Linked DNA regions of Caenorhabditis elegans. The protein of the gene in region 2 interacts with the protein of the main gene of each other region in a pairwise test. Each region holds a gene or a part of one and is shown on either strand. Other genes may lie near its edges. The genes, in order: glh-4, kgb-1, glh-2 and glh-3.

Region 1 (6,222 bases), on a different chromosome or scaffold from region 2:
TCTGGTGTTTGTCGATTTACGATGTACTTGTCAGGATTTATTTGTATGAATGATTTTACAGCGTCGGCTTAAATTCATGATTTTTGGTGGTTTTCCTTGATTCTTTCTGGTTTTTTACTAATCTTTTTATACAAAAACGAGTGGCCACAAATGAGAACCTTCGGAATATGAGAATTTGCATCTGAAAATGGGAAATATTCTCAGATAGAAGAAAACAAAAATTACCGAATTCTTCCATACAAATCGAACACGTTGGCTTCATATTAAACTTCACATCTCGAATAATATCTACATTTTGATAGAATGAAGCTGGCACCAAAGACATGGTTTATTTCGGATTTTGCCTAAAAAAGATTGTTAACTCAATAGAATTAAAAGAAAAATGATTGATACATTGGGAGTCGAGAGAATGTTCTGCGTTTATTCATATTTTATGACTCATATCTGTCAATATTGCATTAGTCAAATAATTGTCTTATGATTTTGTGTAACATTCATTAAATGAAACTCTTCTAATAAAGTCAATAGTTCATTACAATAAAAAAAGTTCAGATATATTTACTGAAAGAACGGGAGAAAAATGATAAAACTATAACTAAAACATTGAAATTAACATAAACTTATTCACTGTAACTTCAGGCTTATAAAAATTGGCGAATGAATCGCAGGGGCCTAACAAAACAAATACCAGGAATAAAAATCGTCATAGAGCAACGAAATACATTTAAACATTAAATTATAAAACTGTGATAGGTGCTTCACCACTCCTGTTCCTGCTCATTCCAATCGTCGCCACCTTCTTCCTGATGTCCAGCTCCTTCGGTGAGCCACTCTGGAACCTCTTTCTTGGCTTCGTTCAAGATACTGACGAGGCATGGAATAATGTCCGTGTCGTTCTCCACGTCAACGAATGCAGTCGACGTTCCGGTGAATCCAGCTCTTCCAGTACGTCCGATACGGTTGACATACTCATCAAAGCCATTTTTATCCGGCATATCGTAGTTGACGACATGATCGAGCCCGGCAATATTCAATCCACGAGCACACACATTTGAAGCTACCATACACTGGTATTTACCACGACGGAAATCATCCAATGTACGATCACGCTGTTCTTGATTTTGGTAGCTATGCATCTGAAAATGAAAAATTGTTTTTGCTCATATAATTCTAAATTTTAATTACCGAAATAGTGCTAACGCCAGCGCTCGAGATGAGAGCCGCAAGAGTGTCACAGAACTTCACCGAGTTCACGAAGATCAGCGTCTTTTGTTTCTCGATGGGTGCGTCCGGCAAGAGAGTCACAGTGTTTTCATCAATTCCGAGAAGCTTGTAAATCGCGTCTCGTTTCTCGGTTCGAGGCACAGGAAGAATCTTCTGGTCGATCTTTTCATTAGCTGTTCCGAACTTGTCGACTTGCAGCATAGTGTAACCCTCTTTGACGAACTTTGGCAGGTCGTCGGATTGAAGATCTTCAGAGAAGGATGCACTGAAAACACTTTATTTTGAAAAATTCCTTGAAAATACTAGCCAATACCTAAACAGCACAGTTTGCTGAGTACGCTCCCCCGGCGATCCGATAATCTTGCTCACTTCCTCTCCAAAGTCGTTGCTGTCGACCATACGATCAGCTTCATCCAGTACGATGTATTTCATTTTTGAAAGAGATACTTCTCCGGCATTCACGAAATCCTGCAGTCTTCCCATAGTGGCAACCAAAATGTTGAGCTGACTGAAACTACGCAGATGTTGCACGTTGGCATTGCGAGAGTAGCCTCCGAAGGCCAATCCACACTTCAATCCCGTTTCATATGTCAGCTGGCGAGCAGTAGTGAACGTTTGGTTGACCAATTCACGAGTGGGAGCAACAATGAGAAGTCTAAAAATAAAGATACAGTGATTATTTTTTCATCGGAATTTCTTACCTTGGAGAAGGTTTCTCATCAGTGACGTCTCGATCTTTCTCAAATTCTTCCATCAGCTTGATGACGAATGGTATCAAGAAAGCAACTGAAATACAATTTTTAAAAATGGAACGGAAGATATCTTCCTTACGTGTTTTTCCACTTCCAGTGTGTGCACATGCAACAACATCGTTGCCATGCATGATCGGGAAGAACGACGCTCTTTGAATCGGTGTTGGTCTGTTCATCTTCATGCGCTTCAAGTTATCATGGAGGTCTTGTGGGAGAATTTTGAAACCATCGAATGATGCCATGTCAGGAATTTCAACCTTTCCAGTGGATGCCACAACCTTCTGATCGAAGTCGATTTTATCATCGTTATTGACTGCATCTTCAAACATTTTATCGTCTGGCGTGAAGACAAAATCATACGATTCGAGGAAGTTTCCTTGCACTGAAATAAATTATATATTTTATACATAAGGTATCGAGCTAACTTACAATCTTTTGGTCTGGTCGGACACTCGTAACCCCAATGGCCTTCTTCAGCGCAACGACGACATGGCTCTGTTGGCTCCATGCGCACTCTCTCGTTCTGACAATCTTTTGCGAAATGGCCTTCTTGTCCACAGTTGCGGCAGGGGCCTCGAGGCACTTTTGGTTGATCACAATCGACAGCAAAATGACCTTCTATTCCACAGTTGCGGCAGGGACCACGAGGAACTCTAGGCTGATCACAGTCGGAAGCAAAGTGACCAAGTTGCTCACAATTTCGGCAAGGAAAACGTGGGACTTTTGGCTTATCACATTCTTTCGAAATATGACCTTCTTCGCCGCAATTATGGCATCCTCTTGGTCGCTCTCCGCCATCCCAATTGCCACGCTGATTGTCGCCTATAAAATTTGATTTCAGATTAGTCATGGGATAAAAAAAACTGACTGGGCTCCCCAAACGTGTTTCCATTGCCGAAGTTTGAACTGGAACCAAAGCCAGCGGCTCCGAAAGCTGATTTGACAGCTCCACCTCCTGTATTGAAGCTTCCAAGGCCGGATTTTGAAGGTGCATCAGTGTCGCCAAATCCTTGATCTTGTGGACCGCCAAAGCCAGAGTCTCGCTTTCCAAAACTGTTACTCGAATCTCCTCCGAATCCGTTTTTCGTTGCTCCACCAAATCCCTTAGATTGTTGGCCAAAAGCAGATTCATTTGATGAAGAAGCTCCAAATCCAGCCGGGGGGAGTTTTCCTCCGAAACCGGTTGTTTCCGTTGGTAATCCCGAGTTCTCTGCAGTGCTTGCTCTATGACCACCGAATCCAGCTTTTAAACCGCTTCCGAATCCTGTACTGGAATCTCCACCGAATCCTGGCTTCGATGCGCCACCAAATCCTGCAGTTTGTTGACCGGAAGAAGAATCTGTTGTTGATGGAGCACCAAATCCAGTCGAGGTCGGCTTTCCTCCGAAACCAGAGCCAAAAGTTCCTCCAGATGTAGATGTTTCTTTGGTTGGAAATCCAGAGCTCTCCGTGGCGCCCGGTTTTTGACCACCGATTCCAGACGAGGATGTTCCACCGAATCCAGCTTTAGAACCACTTCCAAACGATGAACTGGAATCTCCTCCGAATCCGTTTTTCGTTGCTCCACCAAAACCCTTAGATTGTTGGCCAAAAGCAGATTCATTTGATGAAGAAGCTCCAAATCCAGCCGAGGGGAGTTTTCCTCCGAAACCGGTTGTTTCCGTTGGTAATCCAGAGTTCTCCGCAGCGCCTGCTCCATGACCACCGAATCCAGCTTTTAAACCACTTCCGAATCCTGTACTGGAATCTCCTCCGAATCCTGGCTGGGATGTAGATGTTTCTTTGGTTGGAAATCCAGAGCTCTCCGTGGCGCCCGCTTTCTGACCACCGAATCCAGACGAGGATGATCCACCGAATCCCATTTTTGCAGCACCTCCAAATCCTGAAAATACGAACGTCAAGAGACATTTCTTTAAAAAAAAGAGATGATAAAAACAAGACTTCTCATAATATCCTTACCTGAAACCACTGCTGGTTGTTGTCCGAAAGAAGACGGCTTGCTCGTAGGAACTTCACTTGCACCGACTCCAGTGGTTTGATTCTCTAATCCAACTTTCTGGTTTGTCAGCATAGATCCGTTTCCGAATCCTGAACTTGCTGCCCCGCCGAATCCTTTATCTTGTTGATCAAAATTATTTGCAGACGAGAACGCTCCACCAGACACATGTTTCGGTTCTCCGCCAAATCCAGTTGTTTTATGCCCGAGAGATGGCTTGTTGACAGGAATAACGTTAGCACCAAATGAAGACGGCGCTCCTCCGACTCCACCGAATCCATGTTTCGCTGCTCCACCAAATCCGTTACCTTGCTGGTCGAACGAAGTCTTGTTTGCAGCAGCAGCAGCAGCGTTTCCACCGAACCCAGACAACGATGGTGCTCCACCGAATTCAGTTTTTGGTGTTGTTTGACTTCCGAAAGTCTTGCTAGTGGTAATCGGATCAATTCCAAATCCAGCTGATGGCTCATCGGAGTTTCTTTCCGGCTCCGTCTTGATAGCAGTACTTTGGGGAGCTCTTGGTGGTTCCACTGGCGGCGGAACGTTCTTTTCCGGAACATCTTCCGCGACTTTCACTTCGGCCTCCGCGCCCCATCCGTCATCGGAAAAACTAAAAAAAATAAGAATTTGCAAATGATCTAGTTTGTTAAATGGATACCTCATCGTTGATACGATACAGAGTCGTGTTTGATTATACCTGAAAATCAAAATTTTTGCAGAACGAACAGAAAAATAGCACGAGTTTAGAGGATAAGTTGTCGTTTCAACGAGAAAAGTTGAAAATGCATCTCAAAACTATTTTTTTTCTTAATAATGATAAAAAATCGCTGAATTTCAAATATAAAATTGCAAAAAAACAAGAGTTTCAGTCAAAGGCCTAAAATAAAATGATAATCAAAATTTCGCGCCAGAAGACCAAAATGAAAATGGATACGGTAGGAGATATTGTATCTGCTTGCACATCAAACTACGATAATTTACGGTAATCCAGAAACTTTCAGGCACAGAATTTTACTAAAATTCATGAAACTCCTGAGAAAATCGACAATTCGAACTTTTTTGAAAAAAAAAACAAGCAAAAAAAATTCAGAACTGGTTACAAGTTGGGCGGTGCATTTCACGTGTTCATGATGTTGTAAATGTAGCGGTGGGAAGGTCACGGCGTGGCGGTTGGCGGGAGTTCACAGGTGATTCGCGGTTTTTAAATTACTTATGAAATGTAGTTCGCGCGCTTCTACGAGAGGCACCAGCGATATAGTAAAATACTTGCAAAATCGCAAATATTGTGCAAATTGCGATCACCGAGAGTCGCGATTACCAAAATACTGCTAAAATGTTAATGGTCCCGCAGAGAAATTCGCGATTTGCAAAATGCATCTAAAATATTGGAGGCCATAAGTATTTTACAAACGGCGAATCACCTGTGTTGGCTTTTTTTCTTTTTTTTATGCATCCGTTCGAGTTGCATAATTGAAATGATTTTGGAATAATCGGTTTTTGTTTGAAATTAATGATTTACAGATCAGAGCTTTCAGAGAATTCCGTACTTGAAAAATTTACCTGAAAGCTCCCATAGTTTTGCTCACTTTCTAGATGTTTTTTGTAATTTTGGTTCACAATCAAGCGGTTTCAGTCATTTTCAAACCCATTTTTTCCAGACTTTAATTCCTTACAATTAGTTCCGGACAGTGGCGTTGGTAGTGGTTGAAAACTCTGAAAACGTCGGAATAGTTCTAAAAGCTACTGAAAATAGTTAAGACGCGTTTGGAAAGTGTAGAAAACTTTTGAACTATTCATTTTCTGCAAACTTCATAACACTGCTGGAAAAATTATGAAAATGTAAAAAAGTATACATAACAACTAGAAATTTTCGGAGATTTTGAGAAAATTCTGTGCGTTGTGAAGTTCGGGAGAAGTCTGGAAAATATGAGAATTTCTGTAAAATTTGAACAAAAATTAGTGTCGAGCTAGCAAAAAATTCAAACTGAAAATTTTGATTAACAGTCAAAAAGTGGCAATTTCTGCGTTTTTGTGACTTTTTGAAAAAACGATAGCGATTTTTTTCTTCAAAAAGTGGCTATGATAATTAATATCTAAAAAAAAATGAGTGGGCCATAAAATTCAAAAGAAGAACAATTTTTTTGATCGACAAATTCAAAAAAAAAGTGGCAAAAACTGAGTAATTGCCACTTTTCTGACTGTCAAAAAAATTATTTAAAAATTAAAAAAAAAGTTTTACTATGGTAATTG
Region 2 (6,740 bases):
ACAAAATATCAAGATTCCAAAAAAATATTTTCCATCCGCTTTTCTTAATTCTAGAATAGAATACTAAAAGAATCATTTGAAAACATTTCAAGGCGTCTCTGTTTCTCTTTTTGTCCAAATGTCCATATACTTTATTTCCCATCTTTATATCAAAAATCTTTTACTACCCAAAAGTCGATTTTCTGTTGTCCAGCCCACTTTTCAGTCTTCAAACCTCATCTTTTACTGAATGTTCAATTTTTGTGAAATAAATGTACTTATTCAAGACCACCATTGTCCATCTGTGTGATTTAATGTCCGGTCGTTCTGGATTCCCATTTTGGCTTCATTTTGTTTTTGAGAACAAAAATTAAAGCATCGTTTTGAAGAAAAAAAACCTATAGGTCTCCCAGCTAAGTGAGGCGCGGACTTCACGATCGGGTTCCCTGCCGCACTATATATTCGGATACATGCACTGTGATTGACGCTGTGAGGCCGGCGCGGGCGCCGCTGTGGCGACCTCATAGGGGACCTGGTCCCTAAAAAATTAATTTATTGATTTAGAATTTTGAATTTAAACCTGACAATACAATCGAAAAACAATCCCTACTTTATAATGAGATGCAAATTTTGTGGAGCTAAGGTTCAATTTCTTATACTTAAAACAAAACAGTTCCAAAAAATCTGTATTCCAAAATAATTAACATTTAGTGATTATAATCAATATAGAAAATAAGCAGAGAATCACCAGAAAATATGGCCAACTAAGTGACAGAACACAACTGAAAGATAGATTTTTGAAGAAAAAAGTAACACAATTATTTTTGAGAGAAAAAGAAACAATTTTAGGTTTTTTATTATTTATTATCCAGTGAAAATGTCGTGGTCGGCTTGATAGCGTTGCACTTCGTTGAAAATTAGCTCTTTCCATTCAATAAGTGTCTTATCGGCAAAATCAATTTCCTGATCGTATCGATTTTCTGATGCGGGGGCGTTTACCTCATCGTCCTGTAAGATTTGAGATGCATGATTTGATTGTTTTTGTTTAGTGCTAAAATTGTTGTACCTTAAACCACAACTTAACATATGGATGATTCAGTGCATCTTCAACTGAATACCTTTCTTCAGGATTGATTTTCAACATATTGAACAGGAGATCACGAGCCACGTGTGCTGAAAATATGATTTATTTTTCAAAATCCTGTATAGCCTGACTCACGTGTCAAATGGACCCTTGGATTTTCAGTCTCCGGCAGAAAATTGGTATCAGGAACGATTTCACTGAATGCTCGTGCCTGATGACGTGGCAACGATCGAACATACATAGCAGCTGACTGACCCAATTGACTAATGAAATGATCATCTGGTGTTCCCAAAACACTATAAATTTTAGTCCATTGATCAATTCGATCTTTTCCAGGGAAAAGTACGGTATGGTTGATCATTTCAGCAAATATACATCCGACTGACCAAATATCTACTGCAATTATGAATTGAGAGTGTTGTTTGGAAGCGGCCGACACGTTTGGGGTTTTACGCGCACTTTACATGCGGATACGTACGGCGTGAGGCTGTTTGAGGCGGCTCACCGGAGCGCAGATGGAAGTCCAGCCCAAAATTACAAAAATTTTTTTTTTTTTCGAACAAACCTTTTTCCGAATAGGGAAGACCTAATATAACTTCGGGGGCTCTGTAGTATCTTGTCACCACATAATCTGACATTCTCATCGATGTGTCCACATTCTTCTTCCGGGCCAATCCAAAGTCTAAAACTTTTAATACACATCGATCGTTGACGACAATATTCGATGGTTTTAAGTCCTGAAACTTTGAATTTTTCAGAATGTTGTCTATAGTGGTAGATACGTACACGATGAATGACTCCCGAATTGTGAAGATGCTTGATTGCGCACAAACTCTGGTAGACGAAGAATGATAATGTTTTATGGTCCAATCTAATAATTCAGAAAATTTTTTTAGAATCTAATTATGTGTTTATATTCAATATTCAATCATTGAATCATTGAACAATCATGAATAGGAGCTCAAATGTGCAAGTGTTCTAAACTTTTTTAAAAATTCTGATTTTTGGTAGTTAACTAAAATCTTGACCAAAAATTTTCAAAACACGCTGGAATATTTTTTTTATTTTTTTACGCGTGTTCTGGTAGCTAACTGTGCGTGTTTTGATGATGGTTTCGGCACATTTCCAAGTGGGTACTCAAGGTTGGATAAAAATGTATTTCCGACCTTGGGAAACGCGAAAGACGGCAAAATTGAAAGTCTAGCTTTTGCCCTTGTTTCTTTCTTTTTTTAAAAGTTTTTTTTGTTGAAAAGTGTCAGCAATAAACTTATTATTATTGTTGAATATGTTTATTAAACGTGAAATTGAGACAAAAAAGGTTGATATTTTGGAGTCGTTCTGAGTTTATTAGAGCAAAAATGAATCCGCCACTCCTTCTTTAAGATATCGTGCTTTTCCTATTGTTTTATTTTTATTCTTTTGTTCTCAAAATCAATAACAGAAAAATAATATTTTACGTCTATTAGTCTCTAACAAGTCCATCATATACAGTTTAAATTACGTCTAGTATACTAGATATTACTATAAAAATTGGTATTACTGAAAAAAAATCATAAAAATCAGCCACCATGTCTCTTACCTTAATCGATGTATAACCTCGTGCAAATTGTGTGTCATTAATTCCATAACTAGATATACTTCTCGGAACGTTGAAAGTGAAGTGTCCGGTGTAAACGCGTTTAGTAGACGGATTATCTGAAATTTGGAGCATTTTTTCTAGATTCCAACTGAATCTTACATTTGGGTGTTTGATAGTCGTTAGCAGTATAAACTCTCGATATGCTCGCTTTGCGCTCATTGTCATCACAAATGGTTGTTGCATCTTCTTGATTGCCACACGTTGCGTTGTTACTAGGTCATCGGCCATTCTAAATGTAATCAATAAAAATTATGGCTGTTCACTTAACTTAGAAATTCTGTTTGAAGTCATTTGCGCGATAATTTAATTTCAGTCACTTTCATTCTTCTAGAAGATCTTCTTGATTATTGATTTTTTCAAGCTTTTTCAATCTTAGAGGTGGAGCAGCGGGCAATGACGAATAACAATGATCTCGAGACCTCTACCTGTTTTAAAAGTTTTTTGATAGGGCGGTCCGTTTTTTTTCGGGAAGTCATCATTGTGTCAGTGTTTGAAATTACGCAAAACCGAAGAAAAGTTAAAGTGTAAAAATATACAATTGAAAGGCAGTGAGACATTCAAAGATGGAGTACGACCAGAGAAAGGATTCTCTGAAACCAGCCATATGTTTCTAAAATGACTAAAATTCATAGTTCTTTCAAAAAATTTATTTTATCTTTTGGTATTTGAACATTATTGGGGCTATAATTTGCAGTAAAGTGTGAAATGTTTGAAAAAGTAAAAATTATTCGAAAATTTGGCAATCTATCAAATCTTTGATTAACATCTTTGAAGTGTTAATATTTGTTTGTCTATTGAAATTTTTTGTTTACTGCGTTAAAAAATTCGCCCTATTATTTTTCCTTCAATAAAATATTAATGTAATTAGTAAAAACTCACACGACAGTTCCTTGGGCGCCGGCATTCAGAAAACTAAGGTTTACATAACGAGTTGGAATAGTGAAAGTGCTGTCCGCGCCGGCTATCGGGTCCTGAAAATGAATTTGAATGGAGGTAAAGTATCTAGTAACAAACCCTAATTGTAACTTGATGAAATCTAGACGCATCATACTCGTTATGTACCGGCAGATCCACTTCCATCTTATTGTGCCTAAAAAGTTATTAGTTTCAGGGAGAAATACTTAAAATTCAAAAATTAAATATAAACGTTAGTCATTAAATTTCAGCTTTTCTTAAATTTTTAAAAGTATAATTTCAATTTCCAAATAAACGTTTGAAAAAATCTATAAAAATTTCATAATTCTTATCACTTGCAAAAATGTTTCTGATTTTCCTTTCCAACCGGAACTGATAAAAATGCCTTAAAATTGTTGAGTTTCATCAAAACTGAGTCATTTCAACCCACGTAGAAATCAATAAATCTTAAAAACGGAGATTCTAACAGTTTGGAAAATTATTTTCTTTCCAAATATTGACTTTCCATTTCTGGAGTGAAAAAAAATGAGGGAGGGGATATATGTACATATTGTTAGTGAAATACAGTTTTCATTTTTTGAAGTGCAAACTAAACCTGACAATGTTTAAAAAATAGACTAAAAATAGAAAGATATGTAGTTTAATAAATAATCTTTGCAGCTAATCTTTAAATGTTTAATCATAACTTTGGATTTGTAATAAAGAAGTCATTTTTTAACATTTAATGAAATTTCAGCGTTTTTGTTTGGGTTTTTATGTTTTTTAATCGACTCATAAACTCATATTTCATATTTGCATGACGCAAAAAATGTTCACACTTCAAAAATTTGACTTCAGTTGTGAATGATCTTACACTTTTTGCGCTTGGTTTTGAAAGGATGTTCGTATTTAGGAAACAAAAGTCAACACTAATTTCAATGGAAAATTTAAATATTTTAGGTATCAAGTTGACTGGAATGTAACATCCAATAGTGTGTTTCTTTTTTTTAAACCTTTATTATAGAAAAAATACGATCGTACAAAAATAAACAACGACGCAATGACACTCCACCGTTTCTAAACCCCGCCCAAGATTTCATTTGCACTGAAATGTGTCGGCCGCAGTGCAAATGAAATCGTGGGCGGGTCTCAGAAACAGCGGAGTGTCGTTGCGCCGTTGTTTATTTTTGGGCGATCGTATTTTTTCTATAATACTCTAATTACTTTTTTAGTGGGATCACCACCAGGCAGTGTACCTGACTCCCAGATCCGCAGTGCATAGCGCTTGAAGAACGGATCGTCCTTTAATCCTTTAATCCTTTTCTCACGAACTCTACAATAAATACACGGGTTACTCGAATGGTTTATTCTAGCAATAGTTCGAGTTCGGGGTAATTTTGAGGTATTTGCTGTTAATTATTAGTGAAATACATAATACTGCATCGAGATAATTGAAGTCTATTATTCTCAACAAGTAAAATTCAAACTAAAATTGTATTAAAAAAGCAGGGGAAATTTTTTATTTTTACTTAGATTCGAAAACTTGAAGAAAAAAGGCAGTATACCCAGCCTGCCAATTTTTACTTTTACACTTTAAAGACACTTTAGATTTTGTTTTTTTTAAATCATAAATAACCTTTTTAAAAAGTTATAATTAAAAATTAAATAGTACAGGAATGATCTATATACATATATATATATATAAGTTGACAATGCGAAAGAGAGAAATAGTGTAGGTATTAAAAGTTACGTCACTGAGTGAATGTTTGTGTGCGGAAGAGAAGCGATAGGCTGAAGCCAAATAGGAGATGCAGAGAAATAGAGATTTCATCCTTCAGAGAGAGACACACCTAGGATTGAAAATGTGTAGAGAAGTAGAGAATCAGACAGAAAAGAGACACCACTCTGTTTTGGAGAATAGAGTTGCCGTAGAACAAATCGACCGCCTATAATAAAAGCTTTGAAAGTAAATTCTATAAGAAATAAGTTTAATATGTACGTTTTAAGTTTTAAATATCTTTTTCTCAATTATTAACATTTATGACAACTCAAAGCGCTACCCAATTAACTTGGGCCATGAAATCTCGTAGGTGCCTAATCTCCCAAAGTCGTGGGTCCACATTCTGTGTGGTCTTTCCTGTGGGGTTTTTTGGTTGTTCTTTACAATTGTTAAATAATACTTGATTTTGTCTGTTTGTTTCTCTAATTCTTTTCAATCTCTGCATTATTCCTTAGATTTCCCATTTGTTAGTCATCGGAAGTGATAACTCGATGCTAAAATGAAACACAGAGATAGTGAGTTGGATAATTTTAAATTATAAGGTGAAGTAGTGGTTTTTTTGCCATAAATGACAGAATACAGTCCCAATTTACCAAATATAACTGTTAAAAAATCAAAAAATAATAATAAATTTTTTATGATTTTTTCAAAAAGGCCGATTTAAATTTGAATTCTCGCACAAATTAATGGCGTCATTCTCGACATTTTGTGTTTTACGGCCAAACTAATTGGTTTTTCTTTATTCTTACAATTAGTTTTATAATTTGAAACATAATTTTTCAATTTTTCAAACATTTTTCAAACTTGATAATTGCGAAGAAACTTACCGAAACTCTGAAATTGGCTTAATTATTCAAAATTAATCATACATTTTCTTTTAGTCTGAAAAATTGACAGACTGTATTTCAAATTATAAAACAAAGGAAAAATGAAGAAAAACCTATTAATATAGGCTGAAAACGCAAAAGTTTCGAAAATGACGTCACTCATTTGCGCGGGAGTTCAAATTTAATTCAGTCCTTTTTTTTAAATTTTTGTAAAATTAAGAAAAAAATCATTAAAAAATTAGAAAAATTTCATACATTTTCTACATTTTTTAACAGTTATATTTAGTATATTGGGTCTCTATTCTGTCATTTATGGCAAAAAACTTACAGACGCTACTCCACCTTTAAATTTGGAACTTCTATGTATATTCTTTGAACACTTACCCAATAACCACAATCATCTCGTTTTCTTCCGAGAATTGTGAAATATTTTCGTAACAAAAATAATAGAATACTGTTTTTATGAAATTTACTTCTAGAATCCAATTTTTGGATGAAGGAGACAATTTTGTAAAGATGCACACAAATCGAATTAGT
Region 3 (5,758 bases), on a different chromosome or scaffold from region 2:
ATGTGCTTGGTTTTCTGCATCAAATATAACAAATGCCTAAAGTTTGGCACCTGTAGCGACCATTATGACTGAGATCGTGGCGAGACACACTCGGAAAAACCGCATTTGTCTTTAAAGTGAAGTGTCAAAATTTTGGAGAATTTACGATATTTGTGATATCCTCCAATTTCTTATAATAATGTCAATAACGGCAAATAAAAAATATATAAATTGCAGGTTACCATAAGAAAAAAAATTACATTTTTTCTCGAATAGTAGAAACATATTGCAAGACTATTTTTCATTATTTCAGAACACACACTGGAGAGAGACCGTATCCATGTGCTCAATGTGAGAAGGCATTCACCGACAGCTCAACTCTTACAAAACATCTGAGAACCCATACTGGACATAAACCTTATGTTTGCTCAATTTGTATGATGAAATTCACACAGAGTGGGAACTTGCATAGGCACATGAAAACTCATAAATAGTTTTTCCTATTATGGAAGTAATGTTTCTAAATGAATATTGCCATTTTCTGCAAAATATTTTACAATCCACAAGTCTCGAACAAATTTAATCAATGTCTTGTTTTGATACAATTTAACAAATTCACTGTGGAGAGGATTTACTATAAAAACGTTTTACACCAGCAAAAAATCAATAGAACATTTACATGATAAGGAGAATATATAAAAAGGGGGCATTATAATTTACTGATACAATATGGACAACATTTGAAGGATATGCAGATACATCTACCAGCAATCTTCATCTTGCTTTTGAGTTGGAACGCTGCTTTCGAATCCAAAACTAGCTCCGAAATTTCCCCCTGAAGCTCCTTGCATCCACTCTGGAACCAGTTGATCCGCGTCAGAGAGAACGCGAACAAGTTCGGACAGAAGATTACAATCTTCAGAGATGAAACTGGTGGCTCTTCCAGCGTTTCCAACTCGACCCGTTCTAAAAAAAACATGGCTAGCACATGAACATTAGAAATATCTGATTTAACCTTCCAATACGATGAATGTAGTCATCAATGTTGTCTGGCATGTCATAGTTGATGACATGATCCACTCCTTTGATATCAAGTCCACGTTCGGCAACCGCAGTAGCAATAAGAACAGGTTTCGATCCATTTCGGAATTGTCTCAAAGCCTCTGAACGCTCTCTCTGCTCACGGGCACCGTGGATCTAAATTGGAAAACAAAATTAATAATGGTTAAACTATTGTACCAACCGTGATTGCTGGTACTTGAGCCGATGATAAAATGGAGGCCAACGTATCAGCCATTGCTCTTTGCGAGACAAAAACGATAGTCTTCTTAGTGTACACTTCAGAATCTGAAAATTGGGATATATATAAACGATAAAAAAAACAGAATCACACTTTTTTCTGTCGTGTAACTGTCGATATCAATTCCTAGAATTTCCAGAAGTTTGTCCTTCTTTTCGCTTCTATCGCACTTTTCAAACTCCTGAAGGACGCACTTGTTGGCGGCCCCAATTTTGTCGATTGCAAGCATTATGTAGCCTTCCTTCAGATGATTTCGAGCTGCTTCCTGTACAGAATCGGGGAAAGTAGCACTGAACATGAGTGTCTGACGATTTTCTTTCTTCGGCATGCTCTCATAATTGACAATTGTATCGATGTCAGTTCCGAATCCCATAGCATCGATCATACGATCAGCCTCGTCAAGAACAAAGAAGCGGCATTTGTCAAGCTTGATGGTACCCTCTTCACAGAAGTGCTTGATTCTTCCGACAGTTCCGACAATGATCGTGGCTCCTTTTTCGATCTGACCCTTATTATAACCCACTGCCAATCCTCCGTAAACTGGTCTGATCTCCATCATTGTTTGATAAGCAAACTTTCTTCCCTCGTTGTAAATTTGATCAGTGAGTTCACGAGTCGGAGTCAGGATGATGCAACGGGGATAGCAACCTCCTTCTCCGGCAGTGTTCAGATCATTTTCATCAATCAGACGAGCCATGATTGGCAGAAGGAATGCAGCGGTTTTTCCTGAACCAGTTTGAGCACAAGCCATGATATCATGTCCTTGATGAATAAGTGGAAGAGTATATTGTTGAATTGGAGTGGTCTTAGTGTAGCCTGCATGTGCGACATTCTTCTTCATTGTTTCGCCCAGATTAGCTTCGGAGAACGTCTTACAAGTCTTAACTCCAACGGGTTTTTTATCAGACGTGATTTTAACTTCAGCATCAAAAAACTTGTTGAACATGAGACCTTCCGAAATTTTCTGCATGTTAAAAACTTCTTCCATGTTGTCTTCGACTGGAACGTATGTCGCCTTCGGTCCTTCTCCTTCAGCACCTTCCCTTGGCTTGGCTGGATTGGGACACTCATTCGAGCGATGACCTTGCTCGCCACAATTGAAACATCCACGTGGTGGCTCCGGACATTCTGCAGAGCGATGCCCCTCGCCTTTACAGTTGAAGCATTTCATCGGACCACGTTCCTCGTTATTACCGAAGCCTTCAGCATTTCCGCCACCGAATCCACCATCATTTCCTCCTCCGAAACCAGAGGTGAATCCATTGCGGCCTTCACGCGGTTTCCGCTCTTCCGGACAATCGCGAGAGTTGTGACCGGGCTGTTGACAATTGTAGCACACTAAAAATGAAAAATTACGTCTAAAAATTATTTTAAACTAAAACCTCTGGGTTCCCTTTCCTTTTTCGGCTCTGGACAGTCATTCGATCGATGTCCTGGCTGCTGACAATTGAAACAATCTATAAGCAACGTGAAGAGATAGATTTCAAGCAGCAAACATACTATTATTCCTTTCGCCTCGATCTTGTCCCCCACCGCCGCTTCCGAATCCATTCGAGTTACCACCAAAACCTCCCGAACCGAAGCCAGATTCACCATTGTTACCACTACCAAATCCGTTAGTTAATCCACTGTCGAATCCAGTTCCACCACCATTTCCTCCTCCGAAACCAGAGCTTCCACCGGTGAATCCATTTCGGCCTTCACGCGGTTTCCGCTCTTCTGGACAATCGCGAGAGTTGTGACCAGGCTGCTGGCAATTGTAACACACTAAAAATAAAACAGATTACGTCTAAAAACATTTTAAGCTAAAACCTCTGGGTTCCCTTTCCTTTTTCGGCTCTGGACAGTCATTCGATCGATGTCCTGGCTGCTGGCAATTGAAACAATCTAAAAGCAACGTGAAGATATAGATTTCAAGTAGCAAACATACTATTATTCCTTTCGCCTCGATCTTGTCCCCCACCACCACTTCCGAATCCATTCGAGTTACCTCCTGAACCGAAGCCACTTCCACCAGAGTTGCCTCCACCGAAACCTCCTGATTTTCCTCCACCAAACCCAGATTCATGATTGTTGCCACTACCAAATCCATTGGTCAATCCGCTACCAAAACCAGATCCACTGTTGCTATTACCGCCAAATCCAGTTCCACCAGCTTTTCCACTGCCGAATCCAGTTCCACCAGCTTTTCCACTGCCGAATCCAGTTCCACCAGCATTTCCACTGCCGAATCCAGTTCCACCAGCATTTCCACTGCCGAATCCAGTTCCACCAGCATTTCCACTGCCCAATCCAGTTCCACCAGCATTTCCACTGCCGAATCCAGTTCCACCAGCATTTCCACCGCCGAATCCAGTTCCACCAGCATTTCCGCTGCCGAACCCAGTTCCACCAGCATTTCCACTGCCGAATCCAGTTCCACCAGCATTTCCACTGCCGAATCCAGTTCCACCAGCATTTCCACTGCCGAATCCAGTTCCACCAGCATTTCCATTGCCGAATCTGGGTCCAACGTTGTTATTACCGCCGAATCCAGATCCACCATTGTTGCTACTACCAAATCCCGTCCCGCCTGCATTTCCACTTCCAAAACCACCAGTGTTACCGCTACCGAATCCCGATCCTCCGCCAAACCCTGATGGATTGCTTCCAAAACTGATGGTTTTCGCTACAATAAATCAGCATTAAATATTTCATTAAAATTTTATAAAAACCTGCAGCAGTATTATTATCCCAATCGTCAGACATCTTCGAACTTCCAGGAAAAAGTACAAGTTTGGCGTTTGCAAACCAAAAAATTTTAAATGAATGGAAACTCAGAAACTCGCGCGCAAAAGATTTGAAATTTGCCGCGCGGGAGTACTGTAGAGGACGAACGTGGCGAGACCCTTGTCCTATGCTGCTCGTATGAGCCTTTTAAAAACTCAATTTGGGATTTTCTGAATACAATTTCAGTATCCTTGCATCGCACTTTTTGCCATACCAGTAATACTTTGTGGAACCTTCAGAATTTTTCTTTCTGAAAATAGTTTCCCTAATTAATCTGGAGACCTTTTTAAACTTAAACGTTCGTTTATCTTTTGGCATATTTAATTTACAATTTAATTAATTTTTTCAGAAATGAATATTAGTGTACTGGACGCAATTCATGCTCTCAACGAACTTTCAATGCAAGACTATTTGCCTCGTCCGCGAGGAGGAGGAGTTCTTCTCAGCCACATAACTCAGTATTATCAAAGCAAGGATGGAATCGAACCCCTCGCGAAAAAAATTATCGAGTCACTGAGAAGCCATACAATGAAGGACGACGATATGGCACACATTTCATGCCAATCAATGATTGCAATGGTCGCAGAACCGTTGCCTATGGAAGAAAAATCATGGATTATTCAACTTCTGATTCAATGGTAATAACTCTGAATTTGGCCAAATTTAAACAATATTCTTAAGGGTTCATATCACGAATACTGCCAACGACGTTTTAGCTTGTATTCTTCAATCCCTTCGGTCATTCAACGTTCATTTTAACGAAGTATACGCGATTCGGACGGCGATTTTCAACGTAAATTTGTTTGAACATCAAATTTTGCCTTCAATTAAAAAATTGCAGTATGTCACACAACCAGAGCTTAACACTGAAACGTTGATTGAGATCTTACCGGACGGAAAACTCATTCTGAACCCACGTGACGCTTCAAAGTATGCTGAAAAACCTTGCGATGAACATATTTTCATTCTCAAACAGCTTCAAAAACTGGTTTCATACAAGAAATTCACGTACTTCACGGCTCTGATACAATATGATTTTGCTCGCTGTAACTCTGAAACTCGCTGCAGCCAGATTTCTAGACCAATATCAAACTACAAGTCTTCTGGATTTGATATGGAAAATCAAAGTTTATTCTCTGTTGGTTTTGGAAAGTATTCCTTCTCGGATGGTGTTTCTCCTGCTGAGGATTTGATGACTAACGAGCATAATTCGGCATTGGAAATGTATCAAAGTAGTATGAAAGCCCTTGAAAATTTCAAGTGCAATGAAAAATTGGTTGGAAAACAATGGGTAGTAACAACGATTGAAGAAGATAGTGATGATGAAGTCGATGAGGAAGAACAATGGAACCTCTCAGCTACCGAAGCAACATCCGATTCTGGTCAGTTTATTTTAAAAATTTTCATAAGATTGAAATAGATTATATCGATCAAACTTTATATTTTTAGGGTATCATGAAAAATGAACAATTTTCGATTGTTCGATTTTCCTGAAAAATAAAAAAATTTAGAAAGTTAACAAAGAAAAATCAGTTTCAAAAAATTATTGTTTTGTTGATGGGAAAAATCATAAGAAAACATAATTTTCTTCTAAAAAGAAGATAAACTCTAAAAATGAAATATTTTTCGAAATATCGGAAAAGCGAAAAAATTTCGATTTTCCTGAAAAACGAAAAATCGGAAAATTTTTTAAGAAAATGTTTAATAATC
Region 4 (4,980 bases), on a different chromosome or scaffold from region 2:
TTATTAACTACAGGTTCTTCAAACTTGTTTTTAACGAAAACATTTTCAAACTCAAATTGGAAGAAAGAATTTTCCCTAAAACAACACGGACAGAATAAAAAACTGACAAAACATTTCTAAAAACTGATTTTAAAATTTTGGGATTTTCGAAATTAAAGCATTTTGAAATTTGAATTTGCTTAGTGTATGCACACAAAACATGATGAACGACGCGATGTTACACAGAACATGTGCTACAGTAATTCTTTCGTAAAATTCAAATTGACTTAATTTAATTTTTATATACATAAGATTTTAATATTATAAGATGAATGAGATTTAATTATTTGAATTGATTGAATTTAAATATTAAAATTCATTAAAAAACACGTTCTCAGCGTTCACTATTATCAAATTTATGAGTCACGAATAAACAGATGACCAGTTATTATCGAGTGGGCATCGTGCCAAGACAACTGAGAAGTTAAAAAAAACTGATAGTGAGTCCATCTGAAAAGATTTTGAAAGCTTTAATTAAAACAAAAATTTATCAGATTTACGAGACATTGATTGAATACTGATCTGAATTTATAAACATTCCAACTATTGAAAACAAAAATGAACATATAAACCTAACAACAAAAAATATATTTTAAAAATTCGGGAAATTTAAAGTTGAAATGCCAAGACGATCAGATATTTTGGGGAATAAAAGGGGGCTGAACATTATCAGAAAAATAATACGTCAAGATTGATATTTTGCAGAAATTAAATTTAGAATACATTGCTTCACCAAGCTTCCTCCGGTTCCTCGGTATCAATAGATTTTTCGAATTTATTAGGATTGGAGGTCCCTCCTGCAGCTTCCTTCATCCAGCTTGGCACAACTTGTTCGGCGTCAGCTAGAGTTCGCACCAACTGCGGCAGAATTTGAACATCGTCTGCCAATGATATGAAGCTAGTTGCTCTTCCCGAGTTTCCGACTCGTCCAGTTCTGAAAAACGGTAATTACAAAAAATAAAACATTTCAGGAAATAACCAACCGGCCAATTCGATGGATATAATCATCAATGTTATTTGGCATGTCGTAGTTAATAACATGATCTACACCTTTAATGTCAAGACCACGCTCAACAACAGCCGTGGCGATGAGCACTGGCTTAGCTCCACTTCGGAACAATTTCAAAGCAGCCGACCGTTCTTTTTGCTCGCGAGCACCGTGAATCTATAAAAAAGAAGAATGGAAATACACTACTAATATACAAACGAACTGTAATCGCTGGAACTTGGGCTGCCGACATGATACTGGCCAGAGTGTCTGCCATTTTTTGTTGAGCAACGAATACAATCGTTTTCTTCACAAAGACATCAGAATCTAAAAACATATATGACGATATTGAAAAGTGAAAGTAAAACAAACTTTTCTCGGTGGTGTAGGTGTCAATATCGATACCGAGAAGCTTCAAAAGCTTATCCACTTTTGATGTTCTATCGCACAACTCGAACTCTTGAATGACACATTTGTTGGCGGCTCCAATTTTATCGATTGTAATCATTGTGTAGTCTTCACGCAACAATTTACGAGCAGCTTCTTGGACGCTGCTGGGAAATGTGGCACTGAACATCATTGTTTGTCGTTTATCATTTTTGGGCATATTCTTATAGTTGATAATTTGCTCAATTTCTGGTCCGAATCCCATTGAATCAATCATTCGATCTGCTTCATCTAGGACCAGGTATCGACACTTATCGAGTTTTATAGCGCCATCTTCACAAAAATGTTTAACACGTCCAATTGTTCCAACAATGATAGTACATCCTTTCATAATCTGGCTCTTATTGTATCCTACATTTATTCCGCCATAGACTGGTTTGATTTCCATAACAGATTGATAGGAAAACTTTCTGCCCTCGTTGTAAATTTGATCAGCAAGCTCTCGAGTTGGTGTAAGAATAATGCATCGTGGATAGCAACCTCCTTCTGCTCCATAATTCAAATCCTTTTCCAAAATTAGACGAGACATAATCGGCAAAAGAAATGCTGCAGTTTTGCCCGATCCAGTCTGAGCACAAGCAAGGATATCTTTGCCATCAGCAACAAGTGGAAGTGTATATTGTTGAATCGGAGTTGTTCGGGTATAACCTGCTCTCTCCACGTTTCTTCTCATACTTTGAGGAATATCGGAATCGGAAAAACTTTTACATGGTTGAATGGTGACCGGCTGTCCACGTGACACAAGTTGAACGCTAGCGTCAAAGAACTTGTCAAAGAAATCTCCAGCGTTAATCTTCAACATGCTAAATACCTCCTCCATCTTGTCCACGACTGGCACATAGGTGACCTTTGTCGGCTCTTGAACTCCGTTTTTCGACCAGCTTGCGCACTCATTTGCACGATGATTCGGATCACCACAATTAGCACATTCACGTTGTGGGGCGGAGCATTCTGTTGCACGATGTCCATACTTCTTGCAATTGAAACATGTATTGCTGATTCCAAAACCTTTTGCTTCAAGGATTGGAGAGGTACCGCAGAATTCATCGCTTCTTTTGTTTCCATAGCTTGAAACACCACCGGAATCTCTGTCACGTTCCTCATCTTTTGCCGAACAGTTTTCAGTTGATACTTGATCATCAGAACGGTGGATGCTCCCTGAAAAAAGTTTGAGAAATTGTCTATTATCTGTATTCGGTACTTAATTTCAAATAATTCTTCATACAAAGACCACACTTTTACCAGATAGTAAATTCCTGCCAAACTTACCTTCATTTTCTTTGACATTCGAGGTTCTCTTGCTTCCACGAGTTACTGCTCGTGATCTAGAATTTAGAGATCTGCCCACGAGAAATCTCGGATTCATTATCCCAGGACATTCCAATTCCGTTGTAGATGGTGATCCATGCAAATTATTATTTGAGTGGAAAACATTATCAACTTTGTCATCGAAGCCAGAAAAAGAGCCCCCAATCTCGCTGCGCACGGCTATACGTTGATCTTCGGAAATTATTGTTGGTTTCGCTTCGAGTTCAGACATCCTACAGCTACGACGAGAAAATACTGATGATTGAACTCCAAAACTGCTGAGACCTCGATCATCTTTTTTAATGCATGAACTCGCTGAAAAATAAATGTTGGGAATTGGTAGTGATATTCAGAAAACCTACATTGTTCTGTAGTATCTACATCAGAAATTGGCTGGTGTCTAGCGAATTTGGTCCGGATACTTGTCTTTGTTGGGCTTTTATCCATTATTCCGTGCCGTTTAACTCTATTTTGACAACCAGAGTTAATCCCCCAGCCAGTATCGGAAGATTTCGTTTACCTGCAAAGAATATTTTGCGCGTAAAGTTGTTTTGTTTCCAAGAAACGATAAATAAGCATATAAATTAGTTTTTAAACACCAAATAAAAATAAACACTTAAGATTTGCAAAATTGTTTAAAAGAATGAAATTTCAAATTTGTTCCGGGGTTGCACAGAGAACAGCACGATTGACGAAAAATTGCACATAACATATTTTACAGTAGCCGGCTCTTTTCACATTCAGAAATTTTGGTCTTATGTCGATTCAAATCTAACAAACTAAACCTCCTGTTGTCGTTGGAAATATTTGTAAAATGAGTATTTATTGGCAATTTAAATTATTCTTATTAACTTTAATACAAAAATACAAAGTGAATTTCAGTTAGGTAGAGGTACATTTTTATCACGAAGATGAGATTACGGGTAGATTATTTTTATTATTAACAAAAAATACAGTATACAAAAACGTCTAGACTAGAAAAAACGAGCTTGGTGACGATTTGTCCTTTGAAGATTGTGATTGATAGTCCGGGATATGATTTTCGTCCTGAAACTTGCAAATTTACTAATTTTTCTATTTATTCTTGATAATTACCGTTATATTAACATTTGCAAACGTAGTTTGAAGAAGTTCCGCAGCTGTAGGCCGATCATTTGGAAGAAATTCAAAGCAATTATCGAAGAATCGTTTAACATCTGGTCTTTTGTCGGCAATATCAGGATAAGTTGGTTTTTGCTTGCGGAAGCAAAGCTGAAAGTTTACTTATTGATGGCAACAATTATTATCTTTAGACTCAACTATCTACATGTGTCTAGAATAAACATACCGCGAAGGCTATTTGATGACGAGTTTGTCCTTCGAATGGAACTTTTCCAGTCATCATATTGACTACGGTAGCTCCAAGTGCCCAAATGTCAACACTTCTACCGTAACCACTATAGCTTCCAGTTGTTTCATCCTTTTCCCCATATGAATAAATTTCTGGTGCCATGAATTGAGGAGTTCCGGCAGTTGTTTGAAACTCTCCGTATACTGTACTTGACTCGACAAGTCGCGAAGAACATCCGAAATCTCCTAATTTGAGTACGGTACACTTATCGAGGAATATGTTCGCTGGCTTTATATCACGATGAATGATTTTATGAGAGTGAAGATACTGTACAGCCCGCAACAAGCTATTCGTATATTGTCGAACCATTTTCAAATCCATTTTTCCGTGACAAATTCGTTCAAGTGTACCCTGTGAGCAATATTCCATGAATATGATGACGTCACTGTCTTCAACTTGAACACCATAATATTTGACAAGATTCTCATGAATTAATTGACGGAAAATGTTGATTTCCGATTCGATTGCTTTATGGTTTTCGCGTTGAATTCGCATGACTTTTGCTGCAATGACACGATGAGAATCAATATCCATTGCACGATGTACAGAACCAAAGCTTCCAGATGCTGAAAAATGATCATTTGATCATCAAATAAAATAGAGTTAAATCTACCAATATGATCAAGAAGTGCCCATTGAAATGGAGCTTTTGTAGTAATCTTTTTGTCTGTGGCAAGAACAAAGTTTCTTCTGTTATCGTCTGTAATAACTTTCCCGATTTGCAGGTTGTCGTAATCCTGAAAAAATAAAAGTTTAGAATAACCATGCAAGTAGCAAAACTAGCGGACTTCATTCCAAGAATAAAACT

What was found.
Region 1: the proteins of kgb-1 (region 2) and glh-4 interact in a two-hybrid assay, tested with the Caenorhabditis elegans proteins (one study listed by BioGRID).
Region 3: the proteins of kgb-1 (region 2) and glh-2 interact in a two-hybrid assay, tested with the Caenorhabditis elegans proteins (one study listed by BioGRID).
Region 4: the proteins of kgb-1 (region 2) and glh-3 interact in a two-hybrid assay, tested with the Caenorhabditis elegans proteins (one study listed by BioGRID).

The regions. Positions count from the first base shown.
Region 1 is NC_003279.8:3,725,474-3,731,695, reverse strand, and holds glh-4 (ATP-dependent RNA helicase glh-4), read right to left. Parts: upstream 4,670-6,222; 5' UTR 4,636-4,669; coding exon 4,631-4,635; intron 4,583-4,630; coding exon 3,936-4,582; intron 3,859-3,935; coding exon 2,845-3,858; intron 2,799-2,844; coding exon 2,406-2,798; intron 2,359-2,405; coding exon 2,056-2,358; intron 2,011-2,055; coding exon 1,926-2,010; intron 1,880-1,925; coding exon 1,538-1,879; intron 1,490-1,537; coding exon 1,186-1,489; intron 1,137-1,185; coding exon 759-1,136; 3' UTR 517-758; downstream 1-516. Other genes in the region: T12F5.2 (RING-type domain-containing protein), read right to left, coding at 226-325. UniProt on the Caenorhabditis elegans protein: Probable ATP-binding RNA helicase. May act redundantly with the P-granule component glh-1 to regulate the formation of the granular structure of P-granules in embryos. May protect somatic cells from excessive apoptosis during normal development.
Region 2 is NC_003282.8:405,105-411,844, forward strand, and holds kgb-1 (GLH-binding kinase 1), read right to left. Parts: upstream 4,930-6,740; 5' UTR 4,853-4,929; intron 4,769-4,852; exon of another isoform or gene 4,658-4,768; intron 3,793-4,657; 5' UTR 3,783-3,792; coding exon 3,717-3,782; intron 3,674-3,716; coding exon 3,582-3,673; intron 2,932-3,581; coding exon 2,802-2,931; intron 2,759-2,801; coding exon 2,643-2,758; intron 1,935-2,642; coding exon 1,850-1,934; intron 1,801-1,849; coding exon 1,629-1,800; intron 1,460-1,628; coding exon 1,199-1,459; intron 1,153-1,198; coding exon 1,046-1,152; intron 988-1,045; coding exon 844-987; 3' UTR 517-843; downstream 1-516. UniProt on the Caenorhabditis elegans protein: Mitogen-activated protein kinase which is an essential component of the JNK pathway composed of mlk-1, mek-1 and kgb-1.
Region 3 is NC_003279.8:6,512,290-6,518,047, reverse strand, and holds glh-2 (ATP-dependent RNA helicase glh-2), read right to left. Parts: upstream 4,121-5,758; 5' UTR 4,028-4,120; coding exon 3,994-4,027; intron 3,948-3,993; coding exon 3,210-3,947; intron 3,167-3,209; coding exon 3,092-3,166; intron 3,047-3,091; coding exon 2,780-3,046; intron 2,737-2,779; coding exon 2,662-2,736; intron 2,618-2,661; coding exon 1,373-2,617; intron 1,327-1,372; coding exon 1,223-1,326; intron 1,177-1,222; coding exon 995-1,176; intron 946-994; coding exon 741-945; 3' UTR 541-740; downstream 1-540. Other genes in the region: che-1 (C2H2-type domain-containing protein), read left to right, coding at 293-473; C55B7.11 (Protein OSCP1), read left to right, coding at 4,400-4,686, 4,730-4,841, 4,890-5,430. UniProt on the Caenorhabditis elegans protein: Probable ATP-binding RNA helicase.
Region 4 is NC_003279.8:5,791,813-5,796,792, forward strand, and holds glh-3 (ATP-dependent RNA helicase glh-3), read right to left. Parts: upstream 3,303-4,980; 5' UTR 3,230-3,302; coding exon 3,145-3,229; intron 3,098-3,144; coding exon 2,744-3,097; intron 2,633-2,743; coding exon 1,400-2,632; intron 1,355-1,399; coding exon 1,251-1,354; intron 1,205-1,250; coding exon 1,023-1,204; intron 974-1,022; coding exon 769-973; 3' UTR 509-768; downstream 1-508. Other genes in the region: mtk-1 (Protein kinase domain-containing protein), read right to left, coding at 3,752-3,835, 3,878-4,033, 4,110-4,738, 4,786-4,909. UniProt on the Caenorhabditis elegans protein: Probable ATP-binding RNA helicase.